2 linked regions of the Oryzias latipes genome follow. The protein of the gene in region 1 interacts with the protein of each later gene in a pairwise test. Links are inferred from orthologs where the notes say so. Each region holds a gene or a part of one and is shown on either strand. Other genes may lie near its edges.

What was found.
Region 2: the proteins of polr3c (region 1) and polr3gl interact in binary tests that used the Homo sapiens proteins (3 or more experiments, as listed by UniProt). The link is inferred for Oryzias latipes from reciprocal best matches to the Homo sapiens genes POLR3C and POLR3GL.

What each region holds. Positions count from the first base shown.
Region 1 is NC_019874.2:18,838,809-18,847,173, forward strand, and holds polr3c (DNA-directed RNA polymerase III subunit RPC3), read left to right. Parts: upstream 1-2,751; 5' UTR 2,752-2,870; intron 2,871-3,747; coding exon 3,748-3,894; intron 3,895-4,221; coding exon 4,222-4,486; intron 4,487-4,642; coding exon 4,643-4,932; intron 4,933-5,036; coding exon 5,037-5,141; intron 5,142-5,573; coding exon 5,574-5,747; intron 5,748-5,835; coding exon 5,836-5,887; intron 5,888-5,987; coding exon 5,988-6,048; intron 6,049-6,134; coding exon 6,135-6,285; intron 6,286-6,588; coding exon 6,589-6,690; intron 6,691-6,774; coding exon 6,775-6,824; intron 6,825-6,912; coding exon 6,913-7,062; intron 7,063-7,147; coding exon 7,148-7,232; 3' UTR 7,233-7,404; downstream 7,405-8,365. Other genes in the region: E3 ubiquitin-protein ligase RNF115, read right to left, coding at 1-9, 178-236, 2,581-2,658; itga10 (integrin alpha-10), read right to left, coding at 8,047-8,100, 8,191-8,304. UniProt on the Homo sapiens protein: DNA-dependent RNA polymerase catalyzes the transcription of DNA into RNA using the four ribonucleoside triphosphates as substrates.
Region 2 is NC_019874.2:32,574,022-32,582,386, reverse strand, and holds polr3gl (DNA-directed RNA polymerase III subunit RPC7-like), read left to right. Parts: upstream 1-3,494; 5' UTR 3,495-3,653; exon of another isoform or gene 3,654-3,689; intron 3,690-4,632; 5' UTR 4,633-4,675; coding exon 4,676-4,780; intron 4,781-5,031; exon of another isoform or gene 5,032-5,098; coding exon 5,099-5,228; intron 5,229-5,306; coding exon 5,307-5,375; intron 5,376-5,452; coding exon 5,453-5,509; intron 5,510-5,623; coding exon 5,624-5,712; intron 5,713-5,777; coding exon 5,778-5,912; intron 5,913-5,980; coding exon 5,981-6,067; 3' UTR 6,068-6,979; downstream 6,980-8,365. Other genes in the region: immunoglobulin superfamily DCC subclass member 3, read right to left, coding at 1,287-1,335. UniProt on the Homo sapiens protein: DNA-dependent RNA polymerase catalyzes the transcription of DNA into RNA using the four ribonucleoside triphosphates as substrates. Specific peripheric component of RNA polymerase III which synthesizes small RNAs, such as 5S rRNA and tRNAs.

The DNA of each region.
Region 1 (8,365 bases):
TCTAGAAGACTAATGAAAGCAACACAAACAGGGGAGGTACAACAATCTCAATAAACGCGTACTAAACTGATCAACTAAAAGGTCACGCTGGAAGAAGATTCAATAAACAGATAACTGACAGAGCAACAAACATGTATTCACTTTTAAGGTTCTGTTCCAGAAACAGAGGTCTCTTACCTGGAATCCTCTGTTACTTCCTCTATGAAACCTGAATCACATCTTGGACAGATGTATTCCTGCAAGAAAAAGAACAAGGACAGAGTCACGCTTATTTATAAAGGCTGAGGAAAAAAAGAGACAACTAAACATCGAACTATGGCCACATTTTTCATTTCAATTGGGTTTCAGCACATCAGAAAGAAAAAAAAGTAACATTTAGATGTAAAAACTTGGTTTTACATTTAGTATACATCCTATTGAAGATGCCAAACACAATACAAGTAAAAAAGATTCAAATGACAGTAGATATTTCAACACACCAATGTGTACGATGTTAACATCCTGGTTTAAGGGCTGTTGAAAGTACATTAGAAATACTATAAGCAAACATGTCCATCATTAAGACTTTCCAGTTAAATGTACTTTTAATTGTTTACATCTTAATATGTTGAAAAACAGACATTTTAAAAGCCTGTGCAACTGTTTTCATGAGCCAAACCATTTTTGGGCTTGTGTTTTATTAATGTAAAATACAACACATATCGTGATACTTCAAAGGATAATTGTTAAGAAAAATGTATGATGTTTTTTTTTTTTTGATTGGCTGATTAAAAGCATAAATAATGACTTTCATTTAGTGTTTCAACATATGAATGCAACCAAAGAGGTACGGCTGGTCTGCCAACCACACCTTAGGGGGAGGGCGTTCAAAACCAGCATGACAGCTTGGAGCAAACACAACCAGCAAGCAGCCTTTGCAGCAGGATGGATCATATGTTGTCCTCTCATTTAAAGATAGAGCTTTTCACTCAGGGGAACAGGATTGAGGTCACTTAGCATAAAAACAAAGTTGTAAGCCATTACGGCAACACCTGAAGTACAATACTTGTAGCATTAAAAAGTGGGTCACAACAATAATGTCTTTTTAGATTGTAGTTCACTCGATTTGGAGTGCTAAATATACAAATGAAATTCACAAATGTTCTTAAGGTTGAATTGAAAAAAAAAGTGACTATGAATTACAGAAATTATTTTGGTCAAAGCCTTTGAATTCAGATTTACTCACAAAACTCACACAATTACTTGTAATAAATAAATGTTATGTATTGTTTTGTTGATTTTTATAATTTACTTTATATTTCAGGTTTAAAAAATGTTTGATATTATCTTTGCAGTTGCTTGATCCAACACAGAAAAAGAAAATCACAAAGAGACAAGTGAGTAAATCCAGAATTAGTGACCAATTATCTGAAATTTAAAAATAATGGGGAGGCAATAGTCACAGCTCTGTTTCCAGTTTACTGGTCGATTAAACAAATAGACGTTTGGATGTTTATTTTTACTTTATGGCACAGTAAATCACAGAACCCTCCATCTCTGTATCAGTCTAACAGATTGCTTCTAAGAAGCTAACAGGTTGCACTTTTTAATTTAAACTTTCAGTCAAAATCTAGACACAACATAAAGCAGTGTTTCCTAAAATTCGGGTTATATAACAAAATTCATTTACTCAATACATCAGCCAGTTATAAGCTAAATTTATAAAACATGTAAGAGAACACATTCATGTTAGAAATTCAGATATTTCTGGTATTTATTTTAACCTGTCCAAATTTTTTCTTGTCCAAAATGAAATACTATAATCATTATCATCAACAAAATAACTTATATTTCAATGATTGAAAAATGTGTGTCAATTTTTATTTATTTACCAAGGAACATTTGTTTCAAAAACACAAAACGGAGTCAACAAGAGAAAAAAAACTACAAATAAAAAAACAAACACTTACAGTTAGTTAAATGTTTTTGTAAAAACGTAGGAATGTCCTTTTAAATAAATGGCCTTTTAAAGAATATTTGTAAAATAGTAATAGTAGGCCATTTAAACGCCTCTTCTGCCGACATTGTTACGTTTGACTTTAACACTAAAACTGAAAGTAAACCACAACGTATGACATCTACAGAAAACTTCCCCTGCTTATACTGCCACTGCTGTTAACAGAAACAAAAACTAAATGTGTATATATACTGAAAAGGAAAATCTGAGTGACAGTTTATGAATAAATAAACTCTCAGATTAATTCGGGCTGTTTTGTTCAAAAACATGCATCTATCATTTACCACCAAGCACACAACTTCTACCTTGAAGCACAGAGATTAGCGTAAGTATTTTAAAACAGGCACGAATAACAAGACCTACTATCGTTAGTTTTAAGAGTAGCTTAGTTTCCCCTAAAACGACTAACCGGAGTTTCTTTACTGACTTAACAACAACAAACACTGCTATATGCTAATAGCCTATGGGCTTAGCTGTAGCAAGAAGTAGCCGAAACAAACAGCTACCTGCCGGAAGGCAGACTTGTCAGCCGCGCATAACACTCAACATAAAATGAGCGAATAACCAAAAATAACGCGACTTACCGGGAGTTTGGGATTTACTTCTCCCTTACAACAGTGACAGAAAAACCGATGCGAGGGAACAGCCGCAGCCTCCGCCATCTTCCCGGAGCAGCACAAACACTGACGTCGGTCCTCCACTAGCTGAAGGGAGCTGTCCGCCCCCAGCCCGGCATGCACTGCGGCACTGTTGTCGAATCACAGCAAGCAAAAAACCGGGAGCGGAAGTGTCTGTTTGTTGTCATCGACTAGCCTCATGCGCTAAACTATCTGCACGGAGTCTGCTTTCATTGCGAGATCTGAAATCGAAAAAGGTTTGTGAAAAAAAAAAAATGCCAGGCTTATACCATCAAATATTCAGAGATAATTTAGTAAATTCCCAGCATGCAATTGTAATTTTACTATCCAAAAGCCCAAGGGGGAAAGAACTTGAACAACTGTTGACTTTTCAAATTAGAAGAGATAGTTTACATGCACTGTATGCTATAAGGGAAACTACTTAATGACCGATCTAACTTTTTATTTTTAGATTTTACCTGTTGGAATAAGTGGTGCCTGTTTTAACAAAGTAAAATACTATTATTGTTGTTTGTAGTTCGTAAACTAGATGTATAGAGATAACATAACTAAAAAAAGTGCTGTTTATTGAAAAACTAAACTGAACTAAAATAAAATTGATTTATTGTTTATATTGGTTCATGTTGAACGATCAAATCCGATCCGATTCACTGATCTAAAATCGATCCAGAACATCTTTAGCCAAGAATTCAACCAGTGGGACTCAGAAAATAAATACCTGGATTCTGAACAGTGCAGGGGAAGTTTTCCACATTCCCTGTATTTTTTTGCAACATAATTAAGTGTAAATTAAACATGTTTACAAACAAACAAGTAAAAAAGAATGAATGGACAGTTTTACCTACATTTTGCTGCCATTCGATGTGTTGTCTGTTTTAACGTTATAGTTAGAAAAAAAGCCTACTGTGCCTTAATCCAAATGGTATTTTCCAATATTGATAATAATTGATTTATTTCCTTTTAAAATTAATTCATATTGGTATAGTTTGATTCGATTAACATCTTGCCTCAGATGGATGAATCGATTCATCTTTACAGCCTACTAAAAGCACATGCATTAGTTCTTATTATTAACTTAGTGGTTTTCATTGAACTGTTGGTGTGTTTGTGCAGATGACAGCCCAGGAGGTCCGTCTGTGTGGTCTTCTGCTGCAGGAGCACTTTGGAGAAGTGGTGGAGAAAGTGGGAAGAAATCTGCTCAAAAGTGGAACGCAAAATTTAAGAGCCATTGTTCATGAAACTGGCTTGTCAGTGGATCTGGTAGGTCAACGCAAGACTGAGATTGCATTCGCTGTAGTCAGATGTTCTTTGAAAAATAATCAAAATTATTCATTATTTGAATTATTATTCAAAGCAAACGGTCACATATATTACTATGTCCCTTGCAATATGGCAAAAGTTAGTTCTTTAAAGATATTTGAACAATAAGAGAAACAAAATTATAATGTAATTATTCAGGTAATATATATTCATATTTGAAAACAGTTTTACCTGAAACTGATTGCTTATCAGTTTTTTGTCAATACAATACAGTGATGTCTGGTAATGTTCATGTACTTTAACAGGACTTCTTCTTCTTTCATCAAGGTAAAGAAGTCTCTGTGCGTTCTTGTGCAACATGGAGCCTGTTCGTTTATTCAAGGTCGAAAAGGACCGGGGAGCCCGACGGAATACAAAGCCCACTGCGATCGGGTACTGAGAATTCTGCGCTACCCACGTTACATATACACAGCCAAAACGCTGTACGGCGACACCGGTGAGCTTATCATAGAGGAGCTGCTGCAGAGGGGCCACATGACGATGAGCAACACAGTTAAGACAGTCGCAGACCGTCTAACTCAGAGTATGGACGGTGAGCATCAGAATCAAACAAAAGACTGTCCATAAAAGAGATGATCTGTTTTCTGAAGGTTTTTTTTTCAGTTAAGCTTTGGATTGAGGCCTAAAATATCGCGATCAGTAGATTCATTTTCTAATGAATACTTCCTTTGATGTTTTGTTGATACAGAGGGGTCGAGCATGGATTATGGTGAAGTGTCCGCCACCTTTTCCAAACTGGTAGAGACTCATTTTCTCCAGCGCTGTCCCCCAGCAGCAGGAGCAGGAACGACAGGGAGCAGTCAGACTGCCAATTCGACTTCTGCAGCTCCTGCCAGCAGCACTGCACCCACACCGGAAAGCTTCCCCGACTGCTACAGGGTTCCTCAAGTGACACTCATAGGCCGGAGCAAACGCTCGCTCGCCAGCGAGGAAGGAGAGGACCAAAGAAATGCGAAAAAAGCGAAAATGGACCCAGAGGTCAGAGAGACGTTTGTTAAAGCAAGATGTTCACTGCATATGCTAAGACTTCTATGGTTGTGACTTCTGTTTGTCTTCTCATAACTTGGATCTTTGGTGCTCAGACTCATGGGGATGAGGGGATTTACTGGCAGGTGAACTTTGAACGGTTCCACCAGCATTTCCGGGATCAGACTATCATCAGTGCTGTCGCCAACAAACTAGATCAGGTGGGAATTCCACAAAACATTTCAAACTAACCATTTTTTTTATTCATTAAAAGAAAAACAGGTTTTGAAAAATAATTGCCTAGAAAAAAAAACCCAAATACATTTCCTCAGTGTATAATTATTTGATGGTTAAAAGTAAAAATGAATAGTATTTGAAAACCCTCTTTGTATGGCTGAAGGAATTTAGCATAAGCATTTGGTTGTTTGATAAGACTATCTGACTTTGAAGTATTGACCTTAAAATCAAAGAAAATTCAAATTTTAAATGAAATAAAGTGATAGTTTTTGGAAGTACTCCTAATAATTCCTCTTTTTTCTTGGATTGTTCTCTGTGCTTTAAATACTACAGCTTTTTACATTTATTTCATTATTAATTATTTATTATTATTATTTATTATTAACTAGCTGTCTTCTCACATCTTTCCTACCCAGACCAGCAGTGAAATAGTGAGAACCATGCTGAGGATGAGTGAGGTGACAACCTCTTCCACTGCCCCGTGCACAAAACCCCTTTCAGCCAATGAGATCTTCAGGTCCCTCCCAGCTACTTACAACATCCCCCGCCATATATTGGACCAGTACCTCACTCTGCTGGTGGATGACCCTGTAGGTCCTCCTCATCTCAAATATCTCTCTGATTTTTGCTTGGCTCCCCACAAAATGCTCAAAAAGTTTCCCACTTTTCCTTCCTAAGATGGAGTTTGTGGGGAAGGCTGGGGAAAGTGGAGGAGGAATGTATATTGTCAGTATCCTTTCTGCTCACTTGAAGGTTCAAACCATCCCACAGGTGTGCGTGTCATTCGCTACTAAACCCAAAACAAAAGCTTTCCCTAACTTTTCTGTCAGATCTGAACCAAGCATTGGCTAACCTGGCACGGGCCACCCTGGAGTCCATCGTACAAGAGAGGTACACCAGTGTGTGTGTTTGCTCTCCACACATACGGTTGCTATTGGGCTCCCATTGTTAATAAGATACCTTTTATTCATCCTCAGATTTGGCTCCAGATCAGCGCGCATCTTCCGCCTGTTGCTACGGAAACGTCATCTGGAGCAGAAGCAAGTGGAGGATTTCGCCATGATTCCAGCAAAAGAGGCTAAAGACATGTTGTACACTCTGCTCTCACAGAACCTGGTCCAGCTTCAGGTACGTGGATGTAAAATGGGTTTAAAGAAGGAACTGGATGAAAAGTTTACGATTTGTTTTAATCATACACCTGGATCTATCCTAAGACTAATTTTTTAACCTGGTGGTGAATTTTAAACATCTGAGCTGAAGTTATTTAATCCAAAACAGCATTGTTCTGTTTACCAATGTATATAGATTTATTTAAAAATACATGTGTTGAGTTCTCAAAGTTTGAACCAAGCAGCCATAGTTCTAGTTTTTTCTTTTTTTAGTACAATTTTTATTATCTGTAATTATCTCTTTTTTAAATGTATCCTCCAGGAAATCCCCAAAACACCAGACTTTGCTCCCTCTCGGACCTTCTATCTTTATACCGTCAACCAGCTGCCTACTGCGAGATTGCTGCTACAGAACTGTTACAAGGTGAGTCTGAAAACAAACTGGGAGCTTTAGAAAGCTGGATGGAGAGCCACAGGTGTATTATTTCATGCCTGCTTTCCTCTCCAGACAGTGGCCAACCTTATGGAGCGGCGGCTGTTTGAGGCCAAAGAAAGCAAGTGGGTCTTTGAATCATATTTTTCCTTGAAGTTTTACAAGAATGCAGGTACTGCTATGCGCCAAATGTGAATTATGTTTGTTTTTTAGGCGCCTTCTGGAGAAATCGCAACGAATCGAAGCTATTTTGGCGTCTCTGCAGGCCAGCGGGGCCGAACCCGAACAGCTCACTGAAGTGGAAGAAATGATCACCGCTCCTGAAAAGCAACAACTGGATAGCTTAAGGCTTCATGTTAACAAGTAAGAGAAGACGACAGAAACAAAAAATGTATATTTGGCAAAGTTTTTTAAACAGGTTTTAAATTTTCCTTTTTTTTCTTTCCAGATTAGATTCAGCAGAGAATCAAGTGGATGAAACAATCTTTCTTCTGGAGTCCTACATAAGTTCCTCTACAAAACCTACAAGTTAAGTCAGATTTGGAAGAATGACTGACACCCCACATTTTACTTAAAAATTATTTGATTTTGTTTTTTTGTCACAACAGTTTTAGAGTTTACAGCAAATATGTTTCGGTTAGAAGTGGATTTAAATCTGATTGTTTTTATTCCTTGCAAATAATAAACACAACAGGAGGAACCCTTTCCAAATGTTTTTTATTTCCCATCATGAAACAAAAAGCTGTAGAACCGAGTGAACATTTGAAATATAAAACCATGAACAAGTCTGCAAGTTAAATAAAAGAACTGTGGCTTAATACATTTTCAAATTCCTTAAAATTAAACTAAGGTTATTTACAAACATTGGGGTAAAAAGTATTTATTAGTCACTGATTCTGCAAGTTAATGAGAAGCCTGTAATGTTTATCATAGATATGCTTCAACTGTGGGAGACGGAAAGTAAAAAAGAATCCAGAATTGTTTTTTTTTTTATAGAATGTACTTGAATAATGGTGCGTTTAATGTCAAATCCTACAGTGTGGTTTCCTGGATTCTTGTTCTGTTTCTTAAAGTTGAAATGAACTTACGATGAACATTACTGATCTCTCTCATCATTTTAAGTGGGACAACTTGCAGAATATTCAAATACTTTTTTTGCCCGGCTGTAAGTGCCTCCATACTCTGGAAATAGTGGGAAGTGCATTTCTGTTAGACCCTTGCGATGCTCTTTTTTAGTCTTTGGAAACTCTGTTGCATCCATTTCCTGAATGTCTGTGCCTGGTGGGAGGCTCAAAGAAAAATCTACTTCCCTTGTAGTCCACAAGGCAAATCGCTGTTCATACAGATTCAGTCTTCAGGATTTTCCTCCTCTCCTCTGTGTTTGCGTGTAAAGAATCCGAGCTGACAATAAGGAAAAGAGCGTGAATGAATACGCTATCCTTTATATATTACACATATGTCTTGAACATCAAAGAGAGTTTGATGTGATACCTTCCACAGTATGAAGATAATAAGAGCCAACAGCAGCAGACCGCCTATGATGCTGCCGATCAGAATCCAGAGCGAGATGGGAATAGCTCTTCCCTTCAGCACCTCCAGTACAGTCTAAAGAGAAGTGTGGGAGACGCATGGGTATGTTAGGTACACTCTAACGTAGGGCTGGTGG
Region 2 (8,365 bases), about 14 Mb from region 1:
AGTCACCCCCTGCCCCCCCCACTCTGTCCCAGCTGCTCTTTCAGAAGATGCTGTGGGAGGAGGGACCGTGAACGTGACCCGAGTGATGGCAACAACAAAGACAACAAAAAGAGATCCAGACACAACACACACACACACACACAGCCCAGAACCAAAACTGTGCTGACACCTCCCCAGACTCAAAGTCCAGGTTTAACAGAACCAGACTTACCCGTCTGTCTCATCTGCTCCGAGTTCTGAACCCTTCTGGACTTTGTTGGAACAGAACTGCAGAACCCCCACCACAGGAACATGACCCAAACCCAGAACATGTCCAGACCACTAAAGTTCTTCCAGACCTCAGAACTGGTGAGGCTGTGGTTCTAGAACTGGGTCATACATCCAAAGATGATGGTTCTGCAGAACTGGAGACTGTCTCCATCAGCTGCTGTCTTAAAGTCTGACAACGGAACCATTTTGGGTCCAAATCCTGATGGTTTGGCTGATTAGATTAGAGGCAGGACATGGGGGGGGGGGGGTCTGATCTCTGAACCTAAGGACTGGTTCCAAGGTTCTGGTCTGAATAAGGAGTCCAAGTTGCAGCAGATACAAATCCAGTCTAGCTCAGTTCTAATGAAGTCCTACAAAAACCCAGACCTGCTCCTGGGGGGTACAGACAGCATGACCCCCCCTCCTGAGAACCAGGCTTCTGAAAGCAGGATAAGGGTTGCAGTCGCCTCCCATCTGGGTCCTCTGAGCTGCCCCCCGACCTGACCTCTACATCACCCCCCCCCCCCCCACTGGGGGGCGTGTGACGTCGCACGCTCACATTTGACCATGAACTTCACACTGACTGAACCATGCAGGTCCAATCTGCACCCCCAAACCAGACTGCCCCCCTCACACCATGCCCCCTCTCTGCTCCCACCCCCCAGGGACAGATGTCCCAGTCTGGCCCTGACAACTACTCCTATGGAGGTCCACAGAGCAAGAACCGTGGTCTTCACGGTGCTGAACCCGGCCCGCTGCTCTCTGGACCTCTTTGCCCTCAGCAGTGGCTTACAGGAGCCGCTTCAGCAAAAACTCATTGAATCAAATCTGGAACCAGACTGGGTCTGGTTTTTGGAGGAGTCTCCGTCTTCTACCTTCTAATCTAGACAACAACCCTGCAGGTCCAAGACCAACAAACAACCAACCATGAATGAGAAATGAAAAAACGTAGAAACAAAGAATGGAAGTGAATCACATGAAGCCCCCAAACGCCACCAGAACCTGTGGTTCTGCTACAGGCTGGTTCTGAAACGTACCTGAGCAGCAGAGACTCAGCAGAATCATCCAGCTTCCTGTCGTCTTCATGTTGGTCCTCTTTGGACCCGAACCATTGGAGATGAAGGTCAGCAGCTTCTCCAGGAACCCACACCTCCACTCTTCAGCCTCCTCCTTGCCTCCTCTTCCTCCAAGCTGCAGGAACTCAGATCTTTGTCACACTGACGTCCCCCCAAACTGAACCCAAGTCTGACTGGGCGGGGGCGGAGCAGATGCTGAGTGTGGGTGGGGGCTGATGTGGTGACGGCGACCCTGGGGGGGTTGAGATCCTGCCTGAGGTGGGTGTGTAGCTGATGTGACGAGCAGAGGAGTAAGATGTGAAAAATAGACGGGCGGGGGCTAAACCGCAGCTGGGGGGGGGTGAGGCTGGCTCCATCCTCCAGGACTGAGGGTCCGGACTCTCGGATCAGGTTCAGTTTTAAAGTCGTCATCGTCCAGATCAGGGGGGGGGGGACAAAATAAAGCAGGGAAGTAAAGTCCCGGGCAGAACTCAATATTTACTGACCCTAACAGCCAAAGCTTGATGTTACAAAGATGAGAAATGAAATTAGAAATAAAAGACATCAGTGGTTTTCTTTCCCTATTTAAACAAATAAATAAAGTACTTCTCAGGAAATCTTTGTCAAAGCCAACAACAAAAGAACCAAAAATAATGTCATTCAACAAAACTCCAACATTTGACTCTGAACATTCCAGGCCTTGCAGTGGGAAAAGTGCCTCAGACACAGAAATATTCCAGCTGTTTGCTGCACATTGGTCTAAGCCAGATTCCTGCCATCTTTTCTTAGCTGCAGCTTCACCAAAGTCTGGGGTCAGACTGTGAGATTTTAGCAGGAATGTCCTCAAAGCCTGTCGGCCATCTTTCTTTCGGTCATTTCTTTGTGAAGTACCGGGTGCCATGTCGCCGACCCCTGCTGAACTACGATTGGGATGTCGTGACAGGGCGTCCACATTCTGCCAGAACGATACTTTATCTCATAATCATCATGGCCCATTTAAGAGCCAAGAACTCCAGCTTCATAGAGCTGCAGTTCTGCATGTTACGCTCTGTAGCTTTTAGCCCCCTACTGGCATGGCAATGGCCGCACACTGCCACCCTGCTCCTGGGACAAAACTGCACCAAGGCCATTGTGGCTGGCATCTACTTCCAGAATAAAGGGTAGTGTGAAGTCAGCACAGGCCAAAACTGGCGCTGACGTCAATTTCTGCTCACAGCACCAAGATTCCTGTGGCAGTATGGTTTCCCCTTGGATGCCTCCAGTAGAAGACTTAAAATGAAGAGCACAGGACTCTCCGACAGGAAACCAAGACTGTGCTTTTAAGAAAATAGACACCCTTTATTACAAATAGTATTAAAATTCCTATTCTGAAAGACACCCAAAAGAGTTAACCAAACCACAAGGGCCATCATGCCCAGCCCACACAGTCAGCTGCACCCAGCCGTGCGCTCTGTTGCGGCACAACAGGCTCAATGCCACGCCCCTTGCGTACAGTGGCAGTAACCGACGCCAGTCCAGGGTGGTGGGACACTGGGCTCTGGTTGTGCCCGGGGCCACAGAAGGCCGGAAGGGGGAACCCGCTCCGATAGCTCTCGATCCGGCTTCATCACGCCGCTCCCCAGTGCGTGGATGGACGGCACTCGCTGAAACGGTGTACAGAGCACACACGATCCCCGGAAATCCCGGCCGTGGCACCGCTCCTGGACAACGGTGCACCAAGGGGTCAGCGGGTTGGATAGAGCAGAAATGCAAACAAACGATGGGAAACAAAAGAAACAGCGGCACCTGCCCCCCAGCTCAGGAGGACTCTCCACAGGAGTCGCATGAGCGGCCAAACACTGCCTGCGATCCAGCTATGGTTATGGTTATGGTTATGGTTATGGCCCCACACACAGCCAAAGGCTGTTGTAAACTTAGTTCATAAATGTTAAATGAGCTGTGATGGTAGCATGCTGCTGCTGTTCTGCTGCTGCTGTTCTGCTGCTACTTCTGCTCCAATAAAACATGTCAGTTGACATGGACAGAGTGACTCTATGGGGGGGGGGGCGGGGGGGTCTCGCGCGGGGAGTAATTCAGGGTAGAACCGCCACTGCTATCGACCATAAATGTAGCTGGATTTCTGTCCTCCTGTCCGATAGGGGGCAGAAACGCGCGGCCCAACGCAGAATGCAAGCGCGCGCAAACTGCCGTAGGACATTTCCGGTGGGTAGTAGGCGGGGCGCCTGTAAAGCGAGGTCCGGGGACGGTAAACAACCGTTCGTGGTGGAGTTTGTGAAAGTCTGAACCGAACATGGAGCGCGCCGCGGGAGCGCGCACTAAGCTGCAGCCGTAACGGAAAAGCGGGAACAGGTCAGAGGAGTCATACCCGACCGAGCGCGAGCCCAGGTCAGAAGGGAGCCCGCAGGGTTCTGATGGAGCTTCACGATCAGCCTGATCGATGAGGCTGATGACGTCAGCCGAAGCCCCTGAATCAAAAACCAAAACATTTTCCTCGTTTCTCTGAAAGCAGCTCAGAACCACAGCGACCAGAGAGGCGTGACGTCATCAGGAAGCAGGGGTTCAAACGTGGGTTCTTAGGCCCCACATGCTGCAGTGTCGTCAGTGACATCATCACATACGTCATCAGGGCTGGAATGGTTCCCTGTCGAGACGGATCCGATTCCTAGTCCATATCTAGTCAATGCAGAATTCAGTCGCCGTTTTAACGCCGCCGCCAGTGATTGGTCCGAGTTGGTCTGAGTCATCGTTTCTATAGCAACCACACTGACCAACCAGGAGTGAGCTTGTTGAAAGGCCACACCCACTTGAAAGCAGGTTACAGAAATCAGTCAAACTTGGGGTTAGGGTCAGCAGGCTCCACCCACTTTCATTGAGGCGTCTGATTGGTCAGTTTATACCTTGAACTACAGAAATGAAATGAAAAATGAGGATTATCAGGAAGAGGTTCTAAAGAATCAGATCCAGAGCGGTTCCTCTGACCCATAGAACGACTGAGGAACAGCCGTTTGTAGATGTCTACGGGATTTTCCTGTTTGGAACGCTAGGGGGCGGGGCCACTCGGTCCAGTTCCCACATGCAGTCACTGGTTTATTCCCGTTTTTTCCTCTGGAAATGCCTGTATACTGCCACCTGCTGGAACAGACGCTACATGACATCAGGTTCTGAGGGGATGGAAGGAACAACCGAAAACGATCAAACACACCTGAAAGGCCTTGATGCGCTTCCCTCTGACCTGAAAAGGGGGAGTGGTCATTGGGCTGTGTGACAGGGGCGGGGCTTACCCCGTGGACGTATCCTGATTTACAGTGGGGTCCTGTTGTGTCTTTAGGGCGGTTCTGGCTCGGTCCGGTTTTGTCTGAGGGGGACCAGCCATGGCGGGACGAGGGCGGGGCCGTAGGCCTTTCGGCACGGACTCGAGCATCAGCAGGGGAGAAGGTCTCCCCCCAGGACTTCAGCAGCCCACGCCTGTGTTTCCTGTAAGCCCCGCCCACACCAGGAAAACCCCTCATTTATATTTAAGTGTTATTCTTTTTGGTTGAATGAAATCCCTCTGTTGTTGTTTTCATTGTTTGTTAAAGCTGTTCATGTCATTCTGAACCTTGTGGGTTATTATGGGATGTCACTGACGTCTACGTTAGGCAGACATTTATCGTCTCGACGTGAACCGTAACAAACAACAGATGCAGGAAAGAGGAGCTCTGACATTTTTCTGCTCTGACACCAACAGTTGGGGTAATGCGCTGATTTTGAAGCACTGAATTCTGGGATTTGAAGTTGGTGGATTTGGTGTCCAGGTGATGGAGCAGAAGCCCCTCCCCCTGGCAGGTGGAGAAGAAGCAGAGTATCTATTGGCCCTGAAGCAGGATTTTAGAGGAGTGATGAAGAATCTGCCATTCTTCATCAAGCCAGCAGCAGCACAGCGAGGTCACACACGTGCACACACACACGCGCGCACACACACACGCAGTCTTATTTTGAAAGTCCTGCTTTCTTCCTGTGCAGATGTTCAGCGCTACTCGGACAAATATCACAGCAGCGAGCAGACGAACAGCCTCACGGACTGGAACCTGGGTGAGACGCCGTTACCACGGTAACATCCAATGAAAACGCCATCAGAACCTTCATGTCTGCACGTCTCTGGATTTCAGACTGGAGACGATTCCCCAGAGAGCTGCAGGTCCACATCAGGAGGAGAGTCAGAGAAGGCGAGTAATCCCATTACTCAGTACTCTGGGTACCTTACTGACTCGTCTGAACAGTATTCATCAGCAGTAATCAGATTACTCAGGGGGGTGAGCATCAGCTGCTGTCTCCCTCAGGTCTGGCCTTCAGCACCATGGATAGTTCTGTGCCAGTCCAGAAGAAGAAGAAGAAGAAGGAGGAAGAGGAGGTGCTGCTCAAACTGGAGGTGAAGGGTTTCTATAGAACCTCTGATGATGATGATGATGATGATGATGATGGCTTTAATGGAAGTGTCTGCAGACCCTGGAGAAGAAGGAGGAGCATGAGCAGAGCTCAGAGGAGGAGGAGGGAGGGGTGAAGAAGAAGCCGGAGGAGGAGGAGGGAGCAGAGGCAGAGGAGGAGTATGATGAGGAAGAACTGGAGGAGGTACGTGGTCAGCAGGCCTGGGTCAGAACCACGGAGGCTCTGCAGGTCTAACTGGACCCTCTGTGCAGGAAACCGACTACATCATGTCGTACTTCGACAACGGCGAGGAATTCGGCGGCGACAGCGACGACAACATGGACGAGGCCATTTACTGAGCAGCTGCTGCACGTGCACGCCACGTGCACGCGTGTGACTGAAGAGGCAGTCCAACCTGGTGTCACCTGCTGCTCCAATAAACAGACGGTCACGTGACCTCGTGTGTCGACCTGCAGCCAACAGTCTGACGTTTGATCCTTTCGGGCCGTACCATACTTCACCACCAGGGGGGGCCGACGTCCCACCTACTGTTGGCGCTGGAGCTTCTGCTTCCAGGAGGTGACGTCAGCCTGAAAGCTTCAGTTTAGTTTTTCATTTCAAACACAAAACCAACATGGTGGTTTAAAAGACATAAAATAATAGAGTGTTCTTGAAAAGGAGTGTTCCACCCCCCCCTTTTCACAAAACCTGATGGTGTACGTATTTAATACACGCATTACTATTTACAGATGGTACAAAACGTTCACGGTACTATTCTGCATGGAGACTGTGCTAAAGTGACAGTTTTTGTTTAATCCTTTCTGGCCTCATCCAGATCTATTAGTGACTTCTTGTAGGTTTTTTTGAATACATGTAAACTTTTGGTTGTAAACCTTCATCCAATCTGTTCCATAAATCCACAATTAGATAAACACATTTTCTTTTTGTTGTGTGAATGGATTACTTTAGTGTCAGTTGTTTTCTCGTCTCTGTCTGAACATTTGCTGAAAGCTTCAGGGCTGCGTCTGGATGGACTTTCAAGTGTGGTTGTACTCAAAGCTACGGTGGCCCTGAAGGTCAAACCCCTCAACACTAAAGCATGTCAAAGCTCAACATGACATGTTAGAAATCAAAGCTAAAGACCAGAAACTAAAACCCAGAACATGGAGGCTCTGATATTCCAGACAAACGGGTTCCTGGCTGAGTCACAGCTCTGCTCACGGCACGACGAAATAAACGAGACGAAATAAACGAGGATTTTAGTGACCAAACTTCATCCATTTTTAGTTTCAAGTTTGTCTTAGATTTACTGCAGTCAGAATTTGATGCTTTATTTCATAAACGTCTGAAGAGGGTAGTGAAGATTCCCCACAGTGACGTGCACGGGCCTCCGCCTCAGAACATCTGGTTCTGTGTGGGCAGAACTGTTCATGAAGGTGAGCAGTGGTGACCTTTGCCCTGCTGATCCTGCAGATCCACGTCTGGAAAAGGGCCTAAAGCTCCGCCCCCTTGTGAGCCCCATGCTGTTCTCAGCCAATCAGGGCCTCCTGAGCCGCTCAGTGTTGAGCTCAGCTGTAACATGAAATGCCTGGATGTGCAGGACATGAGGCGCACACCCAGAACAGAACCACCTTTGCTCCACTTTCCCAGAACCCCCTGCTGGAGTCAGCTAATCCCAAACTGGACCGAGCGACCCGGTCCGTTCTGCTGCTGAACCCTAGACCGGCTCCTGTGGGCGACTTTAAGTGTCACCATGTTTGCATGACCCAGATAACCAAAATCCAGTCATTTGACTTCATAGCTGCTCATGTAACTGCCCCCCCCCCCCCCCCCCCCCCAGCATGTGTGGGGTCGTACAGTTGAGAGGTGGGTACCTGATGGACGCCTGAGGGGGTGGAGCTAAGAATCAGAACGCTTCAGTGTTTCTGCCAAGGACAAACTAAAAATGACCAGAACATCTTTCTAAGAAGAGGAAACCTGAACCCAGACTGGAGTCCAGAGGGTCGGGCCGGGCCGGCCCAGAACTTCCTGCTCAGTCCCCGATCCTGGAGCTCCGTCTGCAGCAGACAGGATCCTACCATCGGTCCAGGAGCAACAGCAGCTTTCAAAGCGTCTCATGTTTCATCTGATTTCTGCTCCAAGAACTCTCCATCTGAGTCTGAGGCAGAACTGTTGTCCTTTAAATAAAGCTTTGATTCCATGAACTTGGTTTATTCTCAGCTGCTGCAGACATCGGTCAGTCTGGAGCTGTGATGCACTTTATGCACCAGCATGTCTGTGGAAAACAGCCAAGGCACAGAGGAGAGGAGAGGAAATCCTCAAAGCAAACGGATTCATGGAGGCCATGCCGCCCGCCTCTGCACAGCCACAGAGCAAAGCCCGTGATCCGGTCAGACCAGACATCCCGTTTCTGAGCTCCAGGATTGGATCCTGATCTGAAATGAGATGTTCCAGATGAGATAGGCTTTATTTACCCCAGGATGGGGACAGTCTGTTGTCTCGGCAGCACAGGAGACAGTCGAATAGCGAAGTTGACCCTGAAAATCAGGATTCAGATTTGGTGATCCAGTCCGTATTAAATTCCGCTGTCAGGTATTTCAAAGGTTGGATTGAATCCTGGATCAGGTTGAGGCGGATCCTGTGTTGGTTTCTGTGCA